Linked DNA regions of Xenopus tropicalis. The protein of the gene in region 2 purifies or fractionates together with the protein of the main gene of each other region. This does not show direct contact. Links are inferred from orthologs where the notes say so. Each region holds a gene or a part of one and is shown on either strand. Other genes may lie near its edges.

Region 1 (6,560 bases), on a different chromosome or scaffold from region 2:
TGCTTTTTGGATAGGTTCTCAAATAAATACATTTTAAAACTTTTCTTTTTCCCAGGGAAAAATAAATGACAAGTATAAAGTGTGTTAAAAGCCTTAAGACAAGGGAGATCTATGCCTTAGGTGCTGTCTTCCATAGCCTCAGCTATTTTATTTGACTTTTCTCTTGGGGTAACCCATGTCCACATGTTTCTGACCTCTGTGATCCCCTTCCCTGGTGTTGGTGGCCACGTTATATGCTCCTGTGTGTGCTTCCTGCACAACCTCTGCCCATGTCACCACAAGGGGGCAACAGAGAGGTGCGTACAAAAAGATAATTATTTAAATGTATTTGGTACAGATCACAGATAGGCAGCCTTAATATAAAGTTGCTTAGAATTAAATTTCTTTTAACAATACTAAAGACCCCTTTTAACTGCTTTTCCAATGCTTTACATGTTCCCATAATGTAAAGATAGTGATAGAAGGAAGAAAATGCAATAAAAGACAAAGATTATATGAGGTGCTGCTCACATCCAGGTGTGTTTTGCATTCAGATTTGAGCTATGGGTTGGTTATGCCATGCATACAGATCCCAACTGACCCTGAACGTTCTATTGGGCAAGAACAAGGCAAAGAAAATATAATTAGTTCAGTTACTGCATGCACAGGGTAAGCAACTGCGGGTCCAGGGTTCAACTCTGACCAGAACATAAATTACGTGGAGTCTGTCTGTTTACTCTGGGTGCTTCAGTTTTGTCTCACACTCCAAACATACACTAATACCTGTATATGAATGGATTTTTCTTTAACTTAATGTTGGCTGTAGGGAAAATTATATTGTAAGCTCCCAATGTAAATAGTTAATCAATACTGGTAAACAAGTGTGGCATATGCTTGTGCCTTAAATATAAAGCATATAATAACCAACTGGTACCCAAAGAGAATAGAGTCATGTGTGTATGTATTCTACTTATAATGCTGATAGAATGAGAGATTCCAATAACTGGTTCAAGTTTTTGGCAAAACACACCTAAAATGTATTGGTAGAAGGCAGATTATCAGCAATATGTAAAGTACAAACACATGGGCAACACTAAACACATTGGTACATCTTAGACACACTGCTTTGTGGCTCCAAATCACTGTGATATTAATAGGCAATCATTTTAGCAAGAAAATAGTAGGGTTATATTTTCTCTTGCTGAATGAGCATGTAACTGGTACAGGTAAGGCCAATCTGTACAAAATGCATCAGCTTCTTGGTCACTTATAATAATGTTTAGATTAAACAGAACCACCACCTAAAAATATTCAGCTGAGCAACTTTCCAATACACATTTATAATACATTTGCAGTGATTTTAAAGTGATTTAGAAATGCCATTGCAATTGGAAGCAGTGTGTGTTTATCCATTTCTGTTCTTTCAACTCATTCCTGGTTCTGACTTTTGACACAATATAGTCGTATAGTCAGTTCTAATAATCAGCTGGCTTCTGCTGGATTGTTTCAGGAGTCAGAACAAGACGTACAGAGAATATAAATAGCTACATAAATATCGTGAAATGACGTTTACCATAAACTCAAAAAAAACAATTACATTTTCAATCTATTGAAAAAGTTGCTTTGAATCATATTTTCCTCCATAATCTCCTAATGAAACAAATGTATTATTGGTTGCAATTGGCTGCTGCATAGCAGTATATGTGGCCATGAATATCTGTCTCACATTTGAGCTGAGGGGAGCATAACAGTGAAGCACCCCAAAAAGCCTCTTCTTCAAGCTACTATACAATAGGCCCAGCAGTGAAACTAATTTATATTATAGAGTTGTCTGCATTTATGGGACTATTTTATAAGTAAATTCTGTTACTGAGAGCAAGGAGGCAACTTTACAAAGAAAGAGTTAATATAGTTAAAATCCAGTGAATAAATGCACATTTTAGACGTAAAGAACAGAAATGTGATTTGTTATTAGTAAGTCTGAATGAAGTATAAACATACAGAATAAAAAATAATACAGACTGTTGGAGTGAGTTTAGAAGGTTTCTAAAAGCAGTGGAAAATTGACTTATGAACATTTCAGATGTCCTGAACGTTAGTAGGGGTTAGAGAAAATGGTAAGAACAAATGAAAGCATTTGTAACAGAACAGTCACATACAAACAATATATATTCTGCATGGGCACTACCCTTAGGCCAGTCCTTATTTCCTAGCCATAGTGGGAGCACTGTTAAAATATTATAGGAAGTTATAGCTCCCATGATGGATGGCGTTGTGGTTCAGCAGAGATATTTGCAGCTGCTTATACAACAGGGCAGATAGCAGTTATCTGTATATGTGACAAACATGGCATGGGGGGTGCTTGCTGTGGATGCAGGTAAACAGAGCTAGAGAACAATGGGCACAAGTTGCACAAGTTGAAATGAGAAAACAGAGAACCTGGAGAAAAGAAAAGAGGAAATGTAATGCCTGGGAAGCAAACAGGACACACATGAATGATAAAAGAGCCCTCAAAAACACATCTTGAAGTAAAATTAATGCCCAAAAGGCAAAAAAGACAAGTCCAGCTTGGGGATCTACAACAGATCCAAGGTGCTCCTATACTGACTGCAGACTCCCAACAAGCACTGAGAGACTGAGGACGCTGCTTATGTAGGTCACTGTTGGCTGGAGAGCCAGTGGCCGTCATAGCTATCAGATGATGAAAAAGACTTTTGTTTTAAATCTTGGTTGCCAGGTTCCATAATCTGATTGCCATTTTCCAGACCAGATTAGCGTCTTGCTCACATTTGCATTTCTTAGCTCTGCCTATGTTTAGTCTGTGGATAGTTTGTGCCTATATTTAAAGTAGTGACTTATAAAGGAACAGCCGGAGCAAATGCTGTGAGACTGTCAGACACTCGGAGGGGGAGATTTTATGCGAGTAGGGCCATAGTTATGTCCACATGTCAGTGTATTTTGGCTCTGTTTCAGAACACACCAGTCAATAAAAAAAAGGAAGAGAAGAGACTTACAGCAGTGTAGCAGGCAGTTAGACTCCCCAGGGAGCAGTTAGTAAGACAGTTTGGTTCTAGTCAGGATAGACAGAAAGAAAGCAAGTAGATTGGAAAGGAAAAGAAAAGTACAAATAATTATTAGAGGATATTCCAGGGCTTCTCATTTCTTGACGATACCAGAATGGCTGTCAGCAAACAAAACATTGAACAAAACAGAAATGAAAATCCAAGAGTTACAATACAATAAAGTATCTATACACATATTGTTAGCTGGAAATGCCTACCAAACATCCTGGCCATATATAATAAACAGTAATTTTCTTAATTCATAGGTCACACATATTACACATTTTTAATATTCTTGTTCGTAGGTAACACATTTTCAGCATGTAAATAGAATAGCATTCAAGGAGGGCTAATAACCAGAAGCAATGTAGTAAAAGTAACACAGGTTCCCTGCACAGAACAATGTGCCCTCACTCTGAACTATCTATTCTGGGGTAGTAAGCCAAACAAAATTTTGGTAAAAATGTATTTATACTCTTGTTTTTTTCTAAGAATATTAGGTCAAACTGTTTCACTTCCTCGTCACCTTATTCTTTCTCCCCCCCCCCCCATAGCTATCTTCCCTTACATTTTCTCACCTTCTCTTCCAGATAATCTACCCTTTACACCTGCCCTCCAGTCAACTTTTGTACTGTGTTGTATATGTAATACCATCACCCTATTACCTACACTATTCCTTCCTTATTTGTCCAATACCTGTCCCCCCTCATTGATGTCATACATTGCTCATTGCTTTTAACTGCCCGTTCCATCACACCTGCTGCATGTGCATGGAGTTGCGTGGGGCTGCTGTGCAGGCTGATCCTCAGCACACCTGACATTCCTCACTGACTTCAAGTTGACAGACGTTGGTGTGTAGGTAACTGTGCTGCAATGTTGTGGGTGGGCAAGCAGGTGCTTGGTTTCTTCCCTGAAGACATGATCGGGCAATATACGATCGGCTGGATTGACAGGTGCTCTAGCTGAAAATATCTTATATGTCATGTATTCTGCGTTACCGCGCCTGTGACTGGGTGGCCCAGACAACCATATTAATAACCTTGTAAGCAGACACAATAACGCAAAATGCATAATACATAAGAGTATACAAATGTTTTTAGTTGCATGTACACACATTACATTGTTAGTAAGACAACAGATATTGTCGTATTTTGAGTAAATCAAAGGGCTCTGTAATAAAAAGGAGGAAAAAAGTACCCAATAGATGGAGTTAGTGGTTTCCAGTGCCAACAGCCCCTCTTTAAATGATTATACAGATGGAAACCAAAAAAGAACCAAGAAAAATCCAGGTATCAGTCTTAAAGGAGACATATTGGAATTATGAATAATATATGGTGCTGGTTTCCCTTTGGGCTAAACATTAATCCTCTCTGCAACAATGGCCCCTTTATTGGAGCTCCCTATAGATCGTATCACTTCTCCGACCACATTTGAAATGAAGAGTGGGCGTGTCCTAACGGTCCCTGCCAGAAGCACAGTAGGAGGGAGAGAGCCAATCACAACCCTGCACTCACGCAAGCAAAGACAGGCTTCAGTTCCCTATCAGGTCAGCCTAGCTGCTGATTGGTTCCTATCCTACAGTGCAGTGTACGGAGGGCCGCCGGCTCCCCAGCTCATCCAGAGAATTCAGCCAGCAGGAAGTGGAACCGATGGGCGGGGCTAGTGGGGTTTTGGTGGAATTTCTCAATAAATCAGCAGGAAACACAACTTTTTAAAGCACAATCCTTCTATATCTAGAGGAGTATAATTCACTGGTACATTCATAGTTTTTATAGGATACGTCTCCTTTAAGATAATGCCAGAATCAGCCCCTACGCAGGCAACAGCCTTTCCCTGGTCCTGCACCCGAAGCAGATTTTGGTTCCAAAATGCACAAGTATGCTACATTTTGGTGCTACAATCATCTCTGTGTACCTGCCCCCGGGTCGACGCAATGGATCCAAGTGCAGGCACAAAGAGAGGCTGATGCCAGCATAGAGGCTAATTCTCATTCTGTGTTTATCTGCAGACTGAGAATAAGCCCCATCTGGCATTAGCCTTATGCAGCCCTCTATCTGTTGTGAACTACATAAATACCCTGTGAGTACTAACTTAGTAGCATTTTAGGTGGAACAAGCTTAAAATGAGTACAGATAGGAATTTAGCCCTCTCACTAGCACACCTTGTTGTAGAACTGGCAAACCCCACAAGACTTTGACCCGGAGGAAATAGACTGATCTTGCTTTCATTTGGGAGAAATGGTTGCACTGTGAGTACCAGAGCACATATGCAATCTCAGTTTGAGTTAGTTCAACATGTGCATAGAATTGATTTTGTGCAGGCTCTCATTGAAAAAAGAAGGTTAAGCTCAATCACTGTGATTTTATAACAACAGAAAATAGAAAATCAGTAGAGATAGATTTTGGACACTCTGATTCAAATCTTAACTGAAACACCACCACCGTGTCCTATACTCACGTGGAAATACATCTGTGAGCACATGTATAGCTTTGTACCTAAATAATAAATACATATTTTAATTCTATCAAAAGGGTTGTAAAAGGACATTCTCATTTCCTCTTGTTTTCCAACAATCTTTAAAGGAACATTATACTTGCCACCCAAGGGTTTGTCTATGGGATATGACTTTGTAACATATATGTGGTTGTTACTATTAAGTTTTTATTTTTGCAATTTAAAAGTAATTTTTAACTATAAATAAAACATACAGAAAACAACAGGTAAGTGCAGCTTGCAAGTGGAGCCAGTGGGGTACTTAGCTATTAATGTTACATTTTGGAGATAGTAGGATTATCTTCTATGTGGTTTCTATTATTAATGAAAAAACTGGAAGCTGTGAGAGCAAAGAAGGCAGATACTCCGCCCTGGAGATAATTTTCCCACAGAAAGAAAGGACCCAGCCTTAAAGAGCCTTCTTTAAACACAGCTTTGTAGCCCTGAAATTCGACAGCACTGTTAAGTGGCTATGCAAACAATTATTATTTCTTTAACAATGCCATTAACAACAAGGTGCTTTTTATATAAAGGCAACATTTTCATATTGCTTTGATATGTTCAGCATTTGTTATTAAGTGAAATAATCTTTGACCTGTGAATGTTACATCCTATGATTTCCCACAGGCTTATGTCTCAGCATGGCAGTTTCATTCAAATTTGTCTTAATGTTATTGTTATAGATGTACAGGTATAATCTGTTTTTCAATTAGAAGCAAAAACATGGGCAAGTAGCAAAACATATGGATGGTTGGCTCTTTCAATAACATGTATGTCATCTTGCGAGTCAAGCAATTTGCTTAAACACCAACATTCACTAGAGAAGATCCCATATGGTTTAACAGATTGATTTTTATTTTTATGTTTTTGGTGATTACAGTTATTTAGCTTTTGGTGGACAGCTCTCCAGTTTTGCATTTCAGCAGCTATCTGGGTGCCAGGGTCTTGTTTACCTTAGCAACCAGGCAGTGGTTTAAATGAGAGACTGGAATATGAATAGGAGAGGGACTGACTAGAAAGATAAGA
Region 2 (6,984 bases):
AGAATGAAGAGTTCTATATGCTCACACCTACAATAATGTTAAAAAAATAGTTTGGTGAACCCTAACATATACTTGAAAATGAAGGGCATGTCAATAGAAAAGTAACATTTTACCTAATAAAAAAAATAATTATCATGAGCAACTTTGCAATATAAATTCATTAGAAATTTTCAGTGGTTTGTCTGTCCCTTTCTGTTCTCTGCCCTGGTGGCTCTGACTTTGGAACAGTAAGACAAGACAGCTGATTAAAAGGCATACCTTTGCTGGAGGAGACTGACTTTTGCAACATTGTTTAAATTGTCATAACCAGAAGTTAAGCAAATGTAATTGTAATAGCTGTTACATTTACAAATAACTGTTAAACCACTGAAATTTGTAATAAATGTATATGGGAAAGTTGTTTAGAATTATGTTTTTGTAAATTTATTGGCAAACATTTTTTTTGGGGGGGGGGGGGAGAAGGGGGTTGTCATGCCCTTTGAAAGGAAATACATATTTGTACATTATTATATCAGTTAATAATATGATGATGTGTAATAAATATAAATCTAAATTTACATCGGTCATACAGAATATATTACTTGCCACTAAATTCTCCAGTCACTGCCTGCAAAAGTTAAGTTATAATCTATGTTCTTCATCTATGCTCTTTTGTCCCTTTTAGACTTGCCTTGGCCTTTGAACTTCACAGTTTCCATCCAGGGAAGGAGCGGGTTTGGAAGGGTGCACAGAAGTGGACATGGATTTCTGGTGCTGTCGGATCCGAGCAGAGGTGGCTGGGGCAGAAGCGGTGGAGGCACGGGACCCAGGTGTAGAGAAGCTGAGAGTGATATTCAAATGGAGAAACAAAACAGAAAATGGAGACACAGACTAGGAAAGAATGAGGAAGGGAGACACTGAGATTTCTGTAATGAAAAGGCTTTCAACACAAAATGAACTTCTTCCACTGGGGGATACACAAGACTAGGTATTATGGACATATATTTTCTAGAGATCACAAGGTGAGAATGCACTGATGATACAACATGGGCTAATAATATTCCATGACACTTGTGGGATGATACAATCTTGGCGTGTTCATGGTAGCAAATATAAATGTGTTTCATTGTGATTGAAGGCTTATAAATGATAAAAGTAGCGAATTGCATAGAAGCGTTTTGCAGAAGGTATGTTCCATTGTGAGCCTAACACAGCTATCAGTAGCTTAGACTAAAGATCTGACACCTTTGTTATACCAGACTACTAGAAGAAGAAAGACATGGAATAATATAAAGTATTAAGGTAAGACAAATTTCTTACCTATCCTTTCCATTCTGTACAGATCCAGGCACAAGTGAGGCTCTGTCCAGCATTGGCGAGTTGCGACTGCGATTAGTGCCAGTAGAAAGTACACTGTTCTGCAAAGTGGCAAAAAAAAAAACAGCAATTAAACAGACTATTTGAATGTAGAGGGGAAGAGCATCTGATATTTAAAACTCACACAATGCTCTCTATGCACAAAAACAACATTCTCACCACTTTGAGGAAAAAAACAGTATGAACACAACTGCATGGACTGCAGTCATAGGACACTAGAGGTTTGATAGATATTCTAGCAAAATAATTTGCAAGGGTATTTATATAATGAAAGTCAGCCATATTTGCACACAATTTACATATTCACATATCTGCAGATATACTTTGAATTCCTGTACATTAACATTTTTAAACATCAAAGCTAAAATCAAGGTACAGAAATCAGTACCCTATGTAGCCCTACTGTCTTAGAAATACTACTTCTTAGAATAACCTATTTAAGAGCAGTATCACAGAGATCCACAGGATTTGCAAGGTAAAACAATTGTTTTTTGTATATGTGCATACTAGGTACAGTTTTAAGAAGATGAGTCTAGCCAGGACAAAACAGAAACTACTCCAACATTTTTAATTATCTAAAAGTTTCAAGTAGTCCTGTGGAACCACTGCTATTATGTAAGGAGGAAAGTGACTGGCAATCAGAAGTTATTTATTTATGTATTTAAGGACAAGAAAAAGGGAAATTCAAAGGGTGCCAATGTGTTAGACACATCCCAGTAAATATCATCACTTACCTTAGATTGCCCTGGGTGTATTCCTGCTGCACACTGCTGCCAATGCCCCACTGATTTTCATCCGAATACCGCACTTGCACAGTACAGTAAAGACCAGGCTTAAACTTTGAAGTCACAAATTTTACTCTACTGCACATGTACGCTATCTGGAAAGCACAGAGGAGCATTGCACAAGATGGTGGAAGTTAAGGATAACGTTCATTGGGGATGTCTAACACATTGGCACCCCAAGTGAATTTCCCTTTCCTTTGCCATCAAAGGGTGAAGAAACAATTCATCAGGGGGTACTTAACCATTAATATCAATTGTCAGAAGGTGGTTGCTTTACATAATCCACTACATACTGTATTTCTGGTCATGTTATGACTAAGCAAGGCACAAAGCTAGCACACCTTAAATACAAACCAGCACTGGCAAATAATAAATATCCTATTGTGCTCTGCAGAAAATATCTGAAAATTTGTGTATATGGACCCAGTCCATGATCAACTCATCAGCTGCATGCCAGAGCCTTGTTTAACCAACACTACTCTAAAATTAATATCACCTTAGGCATAAAATAAATACATTAATCTGACCCCTTGCTATCTGTTTAGTTTTCTATTAATTTCAATGACTTCACTGATAAACATTTTGATTAGTTCACTGTAAAAAAAAAAAAAAATACTACATAATAAAGAGAATGTAAAGATAACTATAGAACTGTTTAATTAAGCATATACCCTAAAGTTAGCGGCCATTAACCTGGAGTGCTGAATGTTGCCCATGGCTGTGACATCAACTCCTCCCTGAATTAATTACCATAAAAAAAAACACAAAAACATTGTTTGTACTATATCAGAGACTCTTTCATTCTCACACAATAAGTAATATTAAACAATACAGGCAAATATAACACTGGGTCTTCAAGAACTGACCGTAGATGGGGTTGGTGTTGTCTTCTTTCTGTCAAGCCCAGAAAGAGGACTTGGTGGAACTCGGACAGTACTGCTGGACTTGCGCCCACTTTCTTTGTCATCCTCAGATCGCCTGTTTTCAGCATTGTTGCTTTGGGTCTTCTTGGAGTAGGAATTGGAGTTGGGGATGGCTGGTCCAGCTGAGAGAGACAAATAATGTTATGGACGTATTGTTCATCAATTTACCATTTGATCAACGATTTATCAATTTTTTTAACCCAAAAATAGGTCTGAACAATTGTTGAACGATTGAGCAGAGAATATTCATTTTGAATGTATGTCAACAAAATAATAAAAAGCACATTTTATTACAATATATGATGAAAGTACCGCAAATATAAAATACATGCATAGGGCAATGTTGGTAACAGGGACTGAATTGGATATAGTAGCAACTCTAATGAAATAAAAGTAATCAAATATACATCAAGCAAAACATTTAAAAACAAACAAAAAAAAAAAAACAAATAGTAACCAGAATAATAGATTAAGTAATTGTTTGGAGAAAAAAAACCACAAAAAAAACTCACTGCCTCACAGGAAATCGAGCAAGGTATCTGAAACCAGCAGAATGGACAGAAAGAGCACACTAGGAACTAAGTTCTGCTGCAAGTATTGCTGGTTCAGAGTAAAATAACACAAAATGATGATTTTAGGAAAAAACAAAACAAAACAAAAAAACTATTGCTCTGAGGCTAATGCCCTGTTGCTAGGAAAATTTTACTTTAATGTTAAAAAAAAACAGCACTGGTCTCTCTCGGGTTGGCTCACCCTTCATCATCAACTCTCAGCCCTTTGTTTCATGTAAACTGGTTGTATGGCTAAGCAGTACCTCACTGCCACACTGTGGTAGCAATTTTTTTGGCAAGAACAATTTGCAAAAGAAAGTATTCACTGCCTCCTGTGGAGAAATGCAAAAGGACAAACTTGTCATCTGTTGCATAGTTAGCCCAATAGGGGGCGACCTACCTACTCCTGATGCCATGAAATCTGCAGCAGAGAAGAACTCAAATAATCACACCTACAGTTTTACAAACAAATCCATCACATGGAATGGAATAAAAAGTAAATATACATATTTATTAAAATATAAAGCACCCACCTTGGTCACTGAGTCTTCTCTGTTTGGGATTGGCTGAAACACTGCGCTGCACTTTGTGAGCAGGTGACGGGGCTATGCTATTAGTGACGTCTGGTGGGGGTCTGGGCTTCAGAGTTAAGTTGTCATTATCCGTCTGAGAATAAAAACAGAAACAAAAATTAGACTGTTGGATTCAAGAGTCCAAAAAGATAAAAATCAGTTTTTTTGTTATGAGAATTCACATAAATAAGAAACCACAATGTGGTGCAGGCCATATTTTCTGTCACAACAGAAGGGAAGTTACACCAAAAATACATTTGTCTATCCAGTGAATGTAAAAATGTTTTTTATTGCATAAAGTTCAATATCAGCTCCCTTGTTTCACCTGATAATTTGATAAGCTACATGCATAGGCAGCTGACTACAATAAAATGTAATTCAAAGAACTCAACGCAATCTCTTGGAGTGCCACATCTGGCCTGTGGGTCTTCAGTCGGACAAGCCCATAATTAAAAAATTGTAAGCATCACCTAATGTGTCTAGAATGGGTTTGGGTCAGGCAAGGTTGTGTCTTTACCAGCAGCAATTCACAGTTAATTTAACTCACTGCAGCTGGTATCCCCATGACTCCTTGTCGGGATAGCGTGGTGCCAATCCTGCCCTCTTTGACGTCACCATAAAAGGCAGGTCAGGCACAAGTATAAAAGTCCCTTCTCAGGATTGGGCAAAAAATATCCAACCCGCACATAACTACTGTCTATGGCAGATCACTTGGAGGTGCATTTTAATCGTATTTGTGTGTGCGGCTCCTATTCAGCATTGATTTCAAGCAACTTTTTTTTGGCAGTATCCATTAAACCTAAGCCCTCTCTAGAACCACACTTTATGGTTTTAACTTGGTTACAATGCCATTATGTTTTATACTGGTAATGTCTGTAGTTCTTGTTAAGCCATAAAAAAGGCAGAAAACACTTCATTGTCCTATAGTCAACATTTGTAACTCTAAATATGTAAAACTCTGGTTTCACTAGTATATTTTTCAACAATACAGACACAATTATCATCAGGTAATCATAGGCTGACTAGCTACAGCAGTAGAATTTCATACCTCAGATGACTTGTAACCCAGCAGTAGATAAGTAGCCATGACCTCATTATATTTCTGGTTAACTAGAGAGTCGCTGATTTCTTCTCGGGTATAACCCATGGTTATCATTAACTCTGTTTATGGAAAATTCACAAAACAAATATTTAATATACATGAAAAAGCTATCATAACCAAATGTACACACTTAAAGTAGAACTACTGAAAACAGAAAAACTACTCTTAGAACAAAAAACATTCCATTGCTGTATGCTTTTAAAATAACATCCCCCTGCAGAAGCACGCCCTCCCTACCTACATCCATGCCTGCACCTAAAAGTTACCTGGCCCCTTGGACAGCCTAAGGAACTGCAAAGTAGCACAGCGGGGTTGGTGGCCATCTTATTCTACCTAGTCACATACTGCTTCTGGCTCTCGGGTTGGTGATTCTTTGAAAAGCGTAGGGGAAGCAAGAACCCCAGTTCGCTGCTCTACAGTTCCATAGCCAGTGAGAGAGCCAAGAATGCAGTTGTGGGGAGGAGACTACAAGAAGGTGATATTAGTTAAGAAAATACAGAAGGGGTTAAGGTTCTCTTTTAGTGACACTGCAAATGATCAGATACCTCAATGTAAAGATTGTATAAAAATTGCTCTTACAAGGCCAGCTAATACATTTTATGGAAAATAATATCCTTTATTTCGATCCACATGGTCTACTTTTTATTCTCTAAATATGGCATACTGCATAAACAACTGACACTAATGGCAGCTGCTTTCTATTCTACCTGTACCTCTACCTTGTGACTATCTTACTGGCTACAGAATGTACCTACTAGTAATTAGATTCAAAAAGAAAAGGACCAGCTACAAACCCGCTTGAATGAGAAACACCTAAAACCAATGGGCGCAGAATGTTTTCAGCCCAAATATACTAGCAAGAGCATTTTAAGCTAAAATAAAAGTACATTTACAGGAAGTTGTTTGTGGAGCTTTTAAGTTGGCTTAAAAGCACTATCGTCCTTAAAGTATAGGGAGAAAAATATGAGAACACTTCATCTTAACAAATAGGAAATTCTGTGCAGTCTCCAAAAGAGTTCTTTCTGCCCTGTTAGGGCAATGTCATGCCGAATGGAGATGCAGTTTTGACTGTTCTGCCCTCAGTGTTAAAAGATGCCTGGGAGACAAAACACTCAAAAATGGCCTGTATGCTATTGTCCTTAACCTGCAGGCTATTATGAATCAGAATGTCTTTGTTTTATCATACTTATTAAAAGTATCTGCATTATCAAATATTTTCTCCCCTAAAGCAAGACTGATTATTCCAGTAGAGGTATGGGACCTATTTTTCAGAATGCCTTGGACCTGGTGTTTTCCAGATAAGGGGGCTTTCCTTACTTTGGATCTACAAACCTTTTGTTATATCAGTTGGGATCAAGTACAAGGTACTGTTTTAATAGTACATAAAAAAAGGAAATCATTTTTTAAAATTGTAATTCTTTATTTAATATGGAGTCTATGGGAGATGGCCTTTACGTAATGCATTGCTTTCTGGACAACAGGTTTCCAGATAACTGATCCCATTCCTGTATATTTATGAAAGAAAATGTCTGTTTAACAAGACTTAATGAGATTTTTGCTTTTAGAATGGTAAAAGTATAACATCTTAAGAATACATTCTCAATTCATTAAATTAAAAGAATGTATTTCCAAATACAAAAAGGTTTTATATAGTGAGTTCCCTGTGAGAAACATCTGCATGAAATGGATTAAATC
Region 3 (7,784 bases), on a different chromosome or scaffold from region 2:
AACTATATATAGTTTATGCAGAATATAAAGTGAAATGTCTAGAGCAGAATGGGACAGGTGAGGATGATAGATGAAAATAAATTTGGGAGCGGCCAGGGCACTGGAGGGTCTGGTTGCAGGTGGCCTAATTTGCACACAAAGGACAGAGGGTGCTAGTTTGGAGGGACCCATGGCACCCGACTCGAGTATAAGCCGAGGGTGACTTTTTCAGCTCATTTTTGGTGCTGAAAAACTAGGCTTATACTTGAGTATATACAGTACTAAAAAATAAAAGGGAATTGTTAAAAGCATTTATTTATCTTTTGCATGAGATTGGTTTTTCCCTTTCTTCAGCAAGTGCAGACTTCCATGAGTATAGCATATGTGAACTATTACCATAAATGAACATTACTTTTTGGGAGACAATAATGCAAGCATGTCACTCAGCCATTCCCAATATACTATACTGAGAAATTGTTTATAGCTATGACTGGTATTTTGTCACCACAGATTTTCTTCAGAAGAAGCAAGGCAAGAAGGCAAAGTGACATATAGGTTATTAAAAAAAAACAAAAAACCAAAACCCTTTCTGTTAAGTATACAATAAAGGACAATTATGGAGTAAGAAGCAAGTACCTTGACAGGACTATCATTGTAGAGCCAAGCCAAAAAGTCAGTGGAATTCCAGTAGGTATCAGGGGACTCCCAGTCTCCATCTGACCAAATCAGATCTGGTTTATACCTGATAAATAAAATAACTTTGAGTTGCAATGATAAGAAATGAATTACAGCCACATGTTAACATTTACATGATAATCATACATTTGAATCTCTACTCCTGACTATATCCAACATATCCCCTTTAAAACAACCTAATGAGTTGGTGAACTGTAAATAGTTTCAGGACATCCTAAATAAGATCTTCCACAAATGAATTGTATTCTAAAAGCTTGTAGGTATAGAGTGGAGCATGGCGCTAACAAGTGGGGTTAAAAGTTAAAAAGTATTTGTGATCATCAGAATCCTGCAACCAAGGCGCTACATAAAAGGAAAGACATTAACAGTGAAGCAGGTTAAAAAAAAAAAAAAAAAAAGTGGGGGGGGGGGGGGGTGTATTTAAAAACCCCAGTTCTGTTGATGAAATTTGTGAATGGAACATACAGTGCATCCACCACGCTAGGTAAAGACTAGACAGCTGTGACTTGCTACAGATGGGATTATATGATATGGACTTTTGCCAATTATGTCAGCAAATCATAAAATCATTAGTGTATTCATATGCTTTGTTCTATGTCCAGTAATGTAGATGCAGTGCTGTGATGGGATAGACAATGTGTAATATAAAGTGTCAGAAACTTTGTCACAGTCCAGTAACTTGTGTAACCTACCAGCAGACTGAAGAGGAATTTGTTTCCAGGAAATCAGCACTTTAAATTGAGGAACAAAATGTCCCTAGCAGAGCTTTGTGCCATGCAATGAAATTAGCCAGACAGACACTGTAACAAAGATTATTTCTGTGCGGCCTTACCTATTAACCAAGTCATAGAGCTCAGGCATTGTTTTGGAAAAAACAAAATACTGTGTCTTGAAGCCATTTTTTTTGTCTAGTAGATACAGGGGATGAAACCATTCCAATAAAGAGTGGTACAAACCAACGCTCAGGTTCCTAGAATGCAAGAAAGGTAATTTTAAAGCAGGCGACAAAAAAAGATATAAAACATTTATAACTTTACCATGAATATTTTTGTGACAAACCGTTTTCTCAACGCATCACTGAAGTCCCCAACCAGGTCACGGTGTGGCCCAACATCTACTGCATTCCAGTTCCAAGACACGGGGGAGCCCCAGTTTGTAAAACCTTCATGGTGCTTGGTGGTCAGGACAACATACCTCAACAAAGCAACAAAACTTGTTTAGAGACTGCCCAGAAGTCAATTTAAAATTAAACAAATATGCTTTGACAGGGGAACATGCAAATAAAAGAAAGTGGCTGATAAGGTGCATCTGCAGATAAAGTTTTAAACATATTAAACTGACTACATTGGATTACAGCCATCACATCATGAGGCTTATATGCAAGTGCATAAGTTATTGGCTGGCACAGTTTGCTATTCCAGTCTGAAAGATCACGTCTTTGGTGAGCGTGTGACAGCACATACTAACCTATCAAAAAACAGCACGATTCCAAGGTGGGGGTTCTTGCCACACAGCAGAGGGTGGTAAACGCGGCTGCCAGATCATGGAAATCACGCTTATACATGATTATATTAAATAAAGTTCATAGGCCAAATAGAACAATTCATTTAGTAATGTAGTGATTTCCTTGTATTAATATGTATAAGGTTGATTTCCCGATTGAGTAGAAGGTACATTAATTGACCTACAGGGTTGATAGGAAGACTGATTTTTATTGCGATTAAGTCATCAGTTATTTTAACAAATTGGTCTATTAATTAGTATTTATTAAAAGTTATATTTTATGGTGCAAACACAGAATACCTTTTTGTATATTTAATTTTAGGAGTGACTAAAGCCCAGCGTTCATTTTGTCACAAAGCCATGTTGAAAACTTTGACTAAAAGTACTGATTCATTTACAGCAAAATGTAACCTTGCAAGTTAAAAAGAAAACCACAATAAATGCACACATATTTCTGATTGGAGTACAGCTTTGCATTGTTTACTGAAATTACCCCCAAATTGTTCCCATTGTGTGTTATGAACAAAAATAGATTCATGCATAACCATTGGGCTAAAAGGTATTAAAGCTTTATAAATCTGTATCTGTCACTAACAGGTGCTAGCCAATATTTATGCTTAGAATGAACTGGGGCTCATTTTCTACAAGGATTTTTCCACATTCTGAGTGCCTTTTTTAATTTTACTGAATTAGGGGACTGTATTTAAAAATGATAACGTTTTCAACACAAAATACAGATGCAATTAAATAACAGTAACAGAGAATATACTGGCACAGAAACCTGGAAGTCTACAGACAGGATATATTGTAGCAGGATATCCTTGCAGTACAATACATACACTCCAAGCATATACAGTCCACAACCACAAAAAAAAAAACAAAAAAAACAAAAAACAAATTAAAACCAATTGAAATTGTCTCAGCATATCAATATCTACAAGATATTTCACATGGATACATGGGGGTCCACAGAATTTTTTATTTTTTTGCAGACAAAAGCCATTCTGTAATAATAGCAAGTAAATTAAAGTTTTTACAAGAGTCAGGGACCCATTTAATTTTTACACTAAGAGACCAGAATACCCCCCTCCAGTCACAGGGACAACAGGCTTGTTGTTACAGTCTTGCCTCTGAAAATTATCAGTATTGCAATGGCTCAATCACATGAGCAAAAATTAAAGTCAAAAACAAGGTGTGACCAGGAAGTTCTGAATAAAAGGATCACATGCCATGACGCCAAACAATAGAACAATACAACCTATGGTGCATTTTGACTGCCTCTGCGCTCGAGTGGGATACAGCAGCTGTAAAAATAGCCAATATACATTAGTCTGCATAACTCTTGCACAAATGGTCTGAAGACAATGCAAATTCAGGGGCAGCACAGGGCTTTTAAAGGGATAAAATAACCATTTCCTTTCACAAAATATATTTTCTGTACCTGAAAGAAATACATATTTGCTGTATTCAACACACTAAGGCTAAGGGCACACGTTAGTGGTCCTATTAATGCCCTAGAAGCAACAGCCATAAGAGGAACATACCAGTGCTCTGCTTGTGCCTTGTGTCTGATTTGTTTAGAGGTGCTTTGTCCCTTGCCTGAAGTTATACACAAGCCCCATAGTGTTCCATATAGCACCCCATAATCCAGTGAATCTACTTGTCAGGTATTTTTAGGCTCAAAATGCATACTGTTTTCTGCCCCCAAACTATATAAGACATAGAGCCCAATGGCAATGCAGGAAGGCTAGGACCACAACACGAATGGTGAAGTTCATACATTTTGGTTATCAGACTGGCAGTTAAATTATTGTTACACAAATGATTATATACATATACCAAGGAAATGAGCTAAACAGCATTGCTAAGCACCATGCATGTTCGCGGCTCAAAAGCATAATTTGGGGCAAAGACAAAGCAAGTGCCGAGCAATAAATAGCTAAAACTCACTTGGCCCCCGCTGCTTGGAAGAGTTGCGCCCAGGCATCAGGGTCGTAAAACTCTGCAGTGAACTGAGGGGCGAAGTCTGCATAGGTAAAGCCGGGCCGGTAGTTCTGCTCCATGAACTTGACATAGGCGTCCGAGCGCTCATGCCAGTTCCACCAGAACCACTCGCTGCCAAATGAGGGCACTGAAAACACCCCCCAGTGCAGGAATATTCCGAACTTGGCTTCATCGAACCAAGGCGGAAGAGGCCGAGCATCCAGAGATTCCCAGTTGGGAGTGTAACGCGAGGAGCCAGAAGGCAGGACAGTGGCCAGAGCACATAGAAAAAGGAGCCCACCGGTTCCAGAGCCCCGCACTGCTTCCATTGTCATCACCGGCACAGACTGTATACATCTGAAACTGTCATGAGACCGGAACTATATGTGAGACCACGCCCCCTTCTAAAGCCCGCCTAGCAACCGTTTCAAACCGCCTCACACAGTGCCGCTTCAGTGCTGCTGCAGGAGGAACTAGTTTAGTAGACCAATAACATCTCAAAAACTATTATGCGATTATCCCACTGTGTACATTTAGGACATCCTTCAGGTTATAGTAAGCACGTACGACTGTTCATGTGAAAGGATTTCATCGCTGTACATCCTTCTTTAGCCTCAGGTACTTACTATGCAGCATTCAGAAGCGCCCCTACTTGCTCTTAAGGGTCCTTACAACAATATTTTTAAAAAGCGTTTTTTTCCCATTGTTTATATGTATTTTAAGTAATTTGAAAAATGAATTAGAACTTCTCTGCAGAGTCTCTGTAAAACAGATTTCCAACTTTCAAAACTTTTTATAACATTGATTGCTTTATTGACAAACAGCTGCACCACCTAAATGTGGCCATACATACACTGTAAGATCTGCTTGTTTGGCAAGGTTGCCAAGTGAGCAGATCTCCTGATATTCTCACCTACAGGTAGGCGATATCAGCCCTAGGGCCAAATGATCAAATTAAAACAGTGGGCATAGGCACCATCTGTTCGGGGACAACATCAATAAGCTGATGCAGTCCCCGATCCAATGGAAAAATCCAACCTGCCTGATCACGATCTGGCCAATTTCAGGCTACATGTCGGTTAGGGAGGCCACCAGTGGTGCCCATACATGGGCAGATAAGCTGCTGAATCGGTCTAAAATATATCGTCAGTTAAAATAGGCCCGTGTATGGCAGCCTCAAGGGAACGCTCCCCCTGGAACTTGCTTGAGTCTGTTACCTATATAATATATAGTTTGTAGGCTAGGTTGCATCGATGAATAGGTTATCTAGTCTTTCTTTTTAACCTCTAGTGAGTCTTTTTCGGCGACTTCCGGAAATCGCCCCGCCGCGTCTGCCATCCCGCCGGCGACTTACATGTTCGCCGGTGGGATGGCAGGGCTAGGCAACTCGGGGAGATTAGTCGCCCGCGAACAGGGAGTTAATCGCGGGCGACTAATCTTCCCCGTGTGCCAGAGCCCTTAGACAGAGAGTTCCAGAGACGGGCAGAAGCCAGAGAGCAGTCTTGCAGTCGGGAATGGGATGAAGTGATGAGAGGAGAAGAGAGGCGAAGGTCATAAGCAGAATGTAGGTTGCATGAAGGAGTGTATTTTAATATCAGACTTGCGATATAGAGAGGGGCTTCATTGATAAGTGCCTTAAATGAGCCCCAGTAATTTAAATTTGATTTTAGAAGAGACCAGGATCCAGTGAAGGGATATGTATAGGGAGCAGTTGATGTGGATCGTTGAGATGAATGAATCTGGCAACAGCATTTAGAACAGACTGGAGTTGTGAAAGGCTGTGTTGCAATGTCTGCAAGGTGTAAGGTTCCGTAAGGAATGGAAGAATGTAAGTTGCTGATGTGAGGGACATCTACAGTATCTTTATGTTCAAATTCTCCACCTCACTATCAATTTTTTAGGACTGTCTTTGTGAACCATTAATGCCCATTTGTGTCCCTTCTGGTTGACTGCACTACAATTTTTTTGTGTCTTAACAAAAAGGATGGTAACCACTGCATCCTCAGTGGAGACTCTGTGACACCATCATTTGATGGCCTGCTCCTGGAAGCAAGAAGGCCAGGCCCAGAATAATCTGGTGTTTTTATCTCTTATTCTGTCACATCACCAGTGCGTTAATAAAAAAACAAAAAAAAGGTTTCCTAAAACTAAGTACTCTGGGGGTGAACTCACCAAAACCATTAGTGAGGAGTCCAGGTGCCCATGCCGAAACCCTTCAGCCTGAAGGTAATTTGGAACAATATTACTGTATGGTGGAAACAGCTGGTACAAACTGGACTAAAAAAATAGTTATGTGCTGCAGTTAATGCTTATTTTAAGCAAAAACATCTCAAACACAAAAAAAGCTCAAGATAGCCTTTATGGGAGCCATCTTTAATAAAAAAGACTTGAGTAAGGTCTCTGTGGCTATACATTGACAAATTAATATGCAATGATTTTGCTAACAAATCCCTTTGAGTCCCAGTGATTATAAGGGTAAGAATCCACAGAGCAATTTAGTTGCCTGCAATAGATCTCTGCTATTGCGGGCGACTAAACTCTCCAAAAACGGCTTTCCACTGGCAAAAAAATCTCTTTGCATTGCTTCGTTTTCTGAAGTCGCACAAACTTGCCTGCAGGAGGAAACTTTGCTCAATTTTGGAATACTAATTCCAATTGTTGCAGGTGTAAAGCCATTTCGGAGCAGCAGTCGCCTCCGATAGCAGAGATCTATCACGGCGACTGAATCGCTTACCCTAATGAGAGAGACAAAGACAATAAATTCTCTGTACTTACCTATATTAATATACTTCGGACAAATTTTATGCATACAGCTACCAAAAAATGCCTGCACTTGAAACAGGGATTGTTTATCCATATATTATATTCAAGCTGGCCAACTGATTTCTGGTCTGACCACTCCTTTCATCTGATTCATAAAGTTTTAACCGCAACTTGCTTTACAAGGTAAAAATTCCCAAATAACTACCGATTTTATTGTAGACCACAGAGCTCACCTGACAGTAATGCTGTGACCAACAACATGGACCTGGCCAGGCCACTTGCACCCGTATACATTACTGCAAAAAGGGAAAGTTGTGTCTGCCGGGGCCATATTTACAATATAGACTCTCCAGACCCCCATGCCTAGGGGGGCAGCAGTCTATATAGGTATCTATATGGTAAATACAAATTACCAAATAAAATTTATTACCATACCATGGTAAATGTCATTTACCATTATGGTAAATATGTGTATTATACAGGTGCCTGGTCTATACAAAAAAAATCCCCCCAGCAGCAAATGAATAACTGTGCTCTAAATCCGGGTGGCACACCTTGAGGGGAGAGGAGTACCTGACGGCCTGCCATAGGTGGAAGTAACGTTACAGGCTGGATGTGACTTTACGTGCATGTATGTTTCGGGTCTGGGGCCAGTGCCAAGGCGGCACCATGCCCATAACGAGAATATAAACTTGCACGTCCACATGTGAGTTGGACAGTTGTCATACCTCTATTAGATTGGTCAGTTTAGGGGTAAAAGCCTTCTTCTAGTTACAATAGGAAGTTTAAAATGACGCCACGGAAGAAGTTCCACGTAGCCGGAATGCTGGATTAGCGGTTGAATGGGAGGCGGGGCTAGG

The links.
Region 1: the proteins of mark2 (region 2) and mtcl1 purify together in Homo sapiens (affinity purification with mass spectrometry; 5 studies listed by BioGRID and IntAct, with this or other methods). This does not show direct contact. The link is inferred for Xenopus tropicalis from reciprocal best matches to the Homo sapiens genes MARK2 and MTCL1.
Region 3: the proteins of mark2 (region 2) and fuca1 purify together in Homo sapiens (affinity purification with mass spectrometry; 3 studies listed by BioGRID and IntAct, counting the BioPlex papers as one, with this or other methods). This does not show direct contact. The link is inferred for Xenopus tropicalis from reciprocal best matches to the Homo sapiens genes MARK2 and FUCA1.

The regions. Positions count from the first base shown.
Region 1 is NC_030682.2:104,944,595-104,951,154, forward strand, and holds part of mtcl1 (microtubule cross-linking factor 1), read right to left. Parts: intron 5,537-6,560; coding exon 5,499-5,536; intron 4,081-5,498; coding exon 3,799-4,080; intron 3,050-3,798; coding exon of another isoform or gene 3,011-3,049; exon of another isoform or gene 2,994-3,010; intron 1-2,993. UniProt on the Homo sapiens protein: Microtubule-associated factor involved in the late phase of epithelial polarization and microtubule dynamics regulation.
Region 2 is NC_030680.2:36,153,836-36,160,819, forward strand, and holds part of mark2 (serine/threonine-protein kinase MARK2), read right to left. Parts: intron 5,349-6,984; coding exon 5,236-5,348; intron 4,282-5,235; coding exon 4,149-4,281; intron 3,187-4,148; coding exon 3,008-3,186; intron 1,398-3,007; coding exon 1,300-1,397; intron 821-1,299; coding exon 671-820; intron 1-670. UniProt on the Homo sapiens protein: Serine/threonine-protein kinase. Involved in cell polarity and microtubule dynamics regulation. Phosphorylates CRTC2/TORC2, DCX, HDAC7, KIF13B, MAP2, MAP4 and RAB11FIP2. Phosphorylates the microtubule-associated protein MAPT/TAU.
Region 3 is NC_030678.2:90,716,687-90,724,470, forward strand, and holds the start of fuca1 (tissue alpha-L-fucosidase precursor), read right to left. Parts: upstream 4,502-7,784; 5' UTR 4,497-4,501; coding exon 4,129-4,496; intron 1,870-4,128; coding exon 1,735-1,869; intron 1,646-1,734; coding exon 1,508-1,645; intron 722-1,507; coding exon 616-721; intron 1-615. UniProt on the Homo sapiens protein: Alpha-L-fucosidase is responsible for hydrolyzing the alpha-1,6-linked fucose joined to the reducing-end N-acetylglucosamine of the carbohydrate moieties of glycoproteins.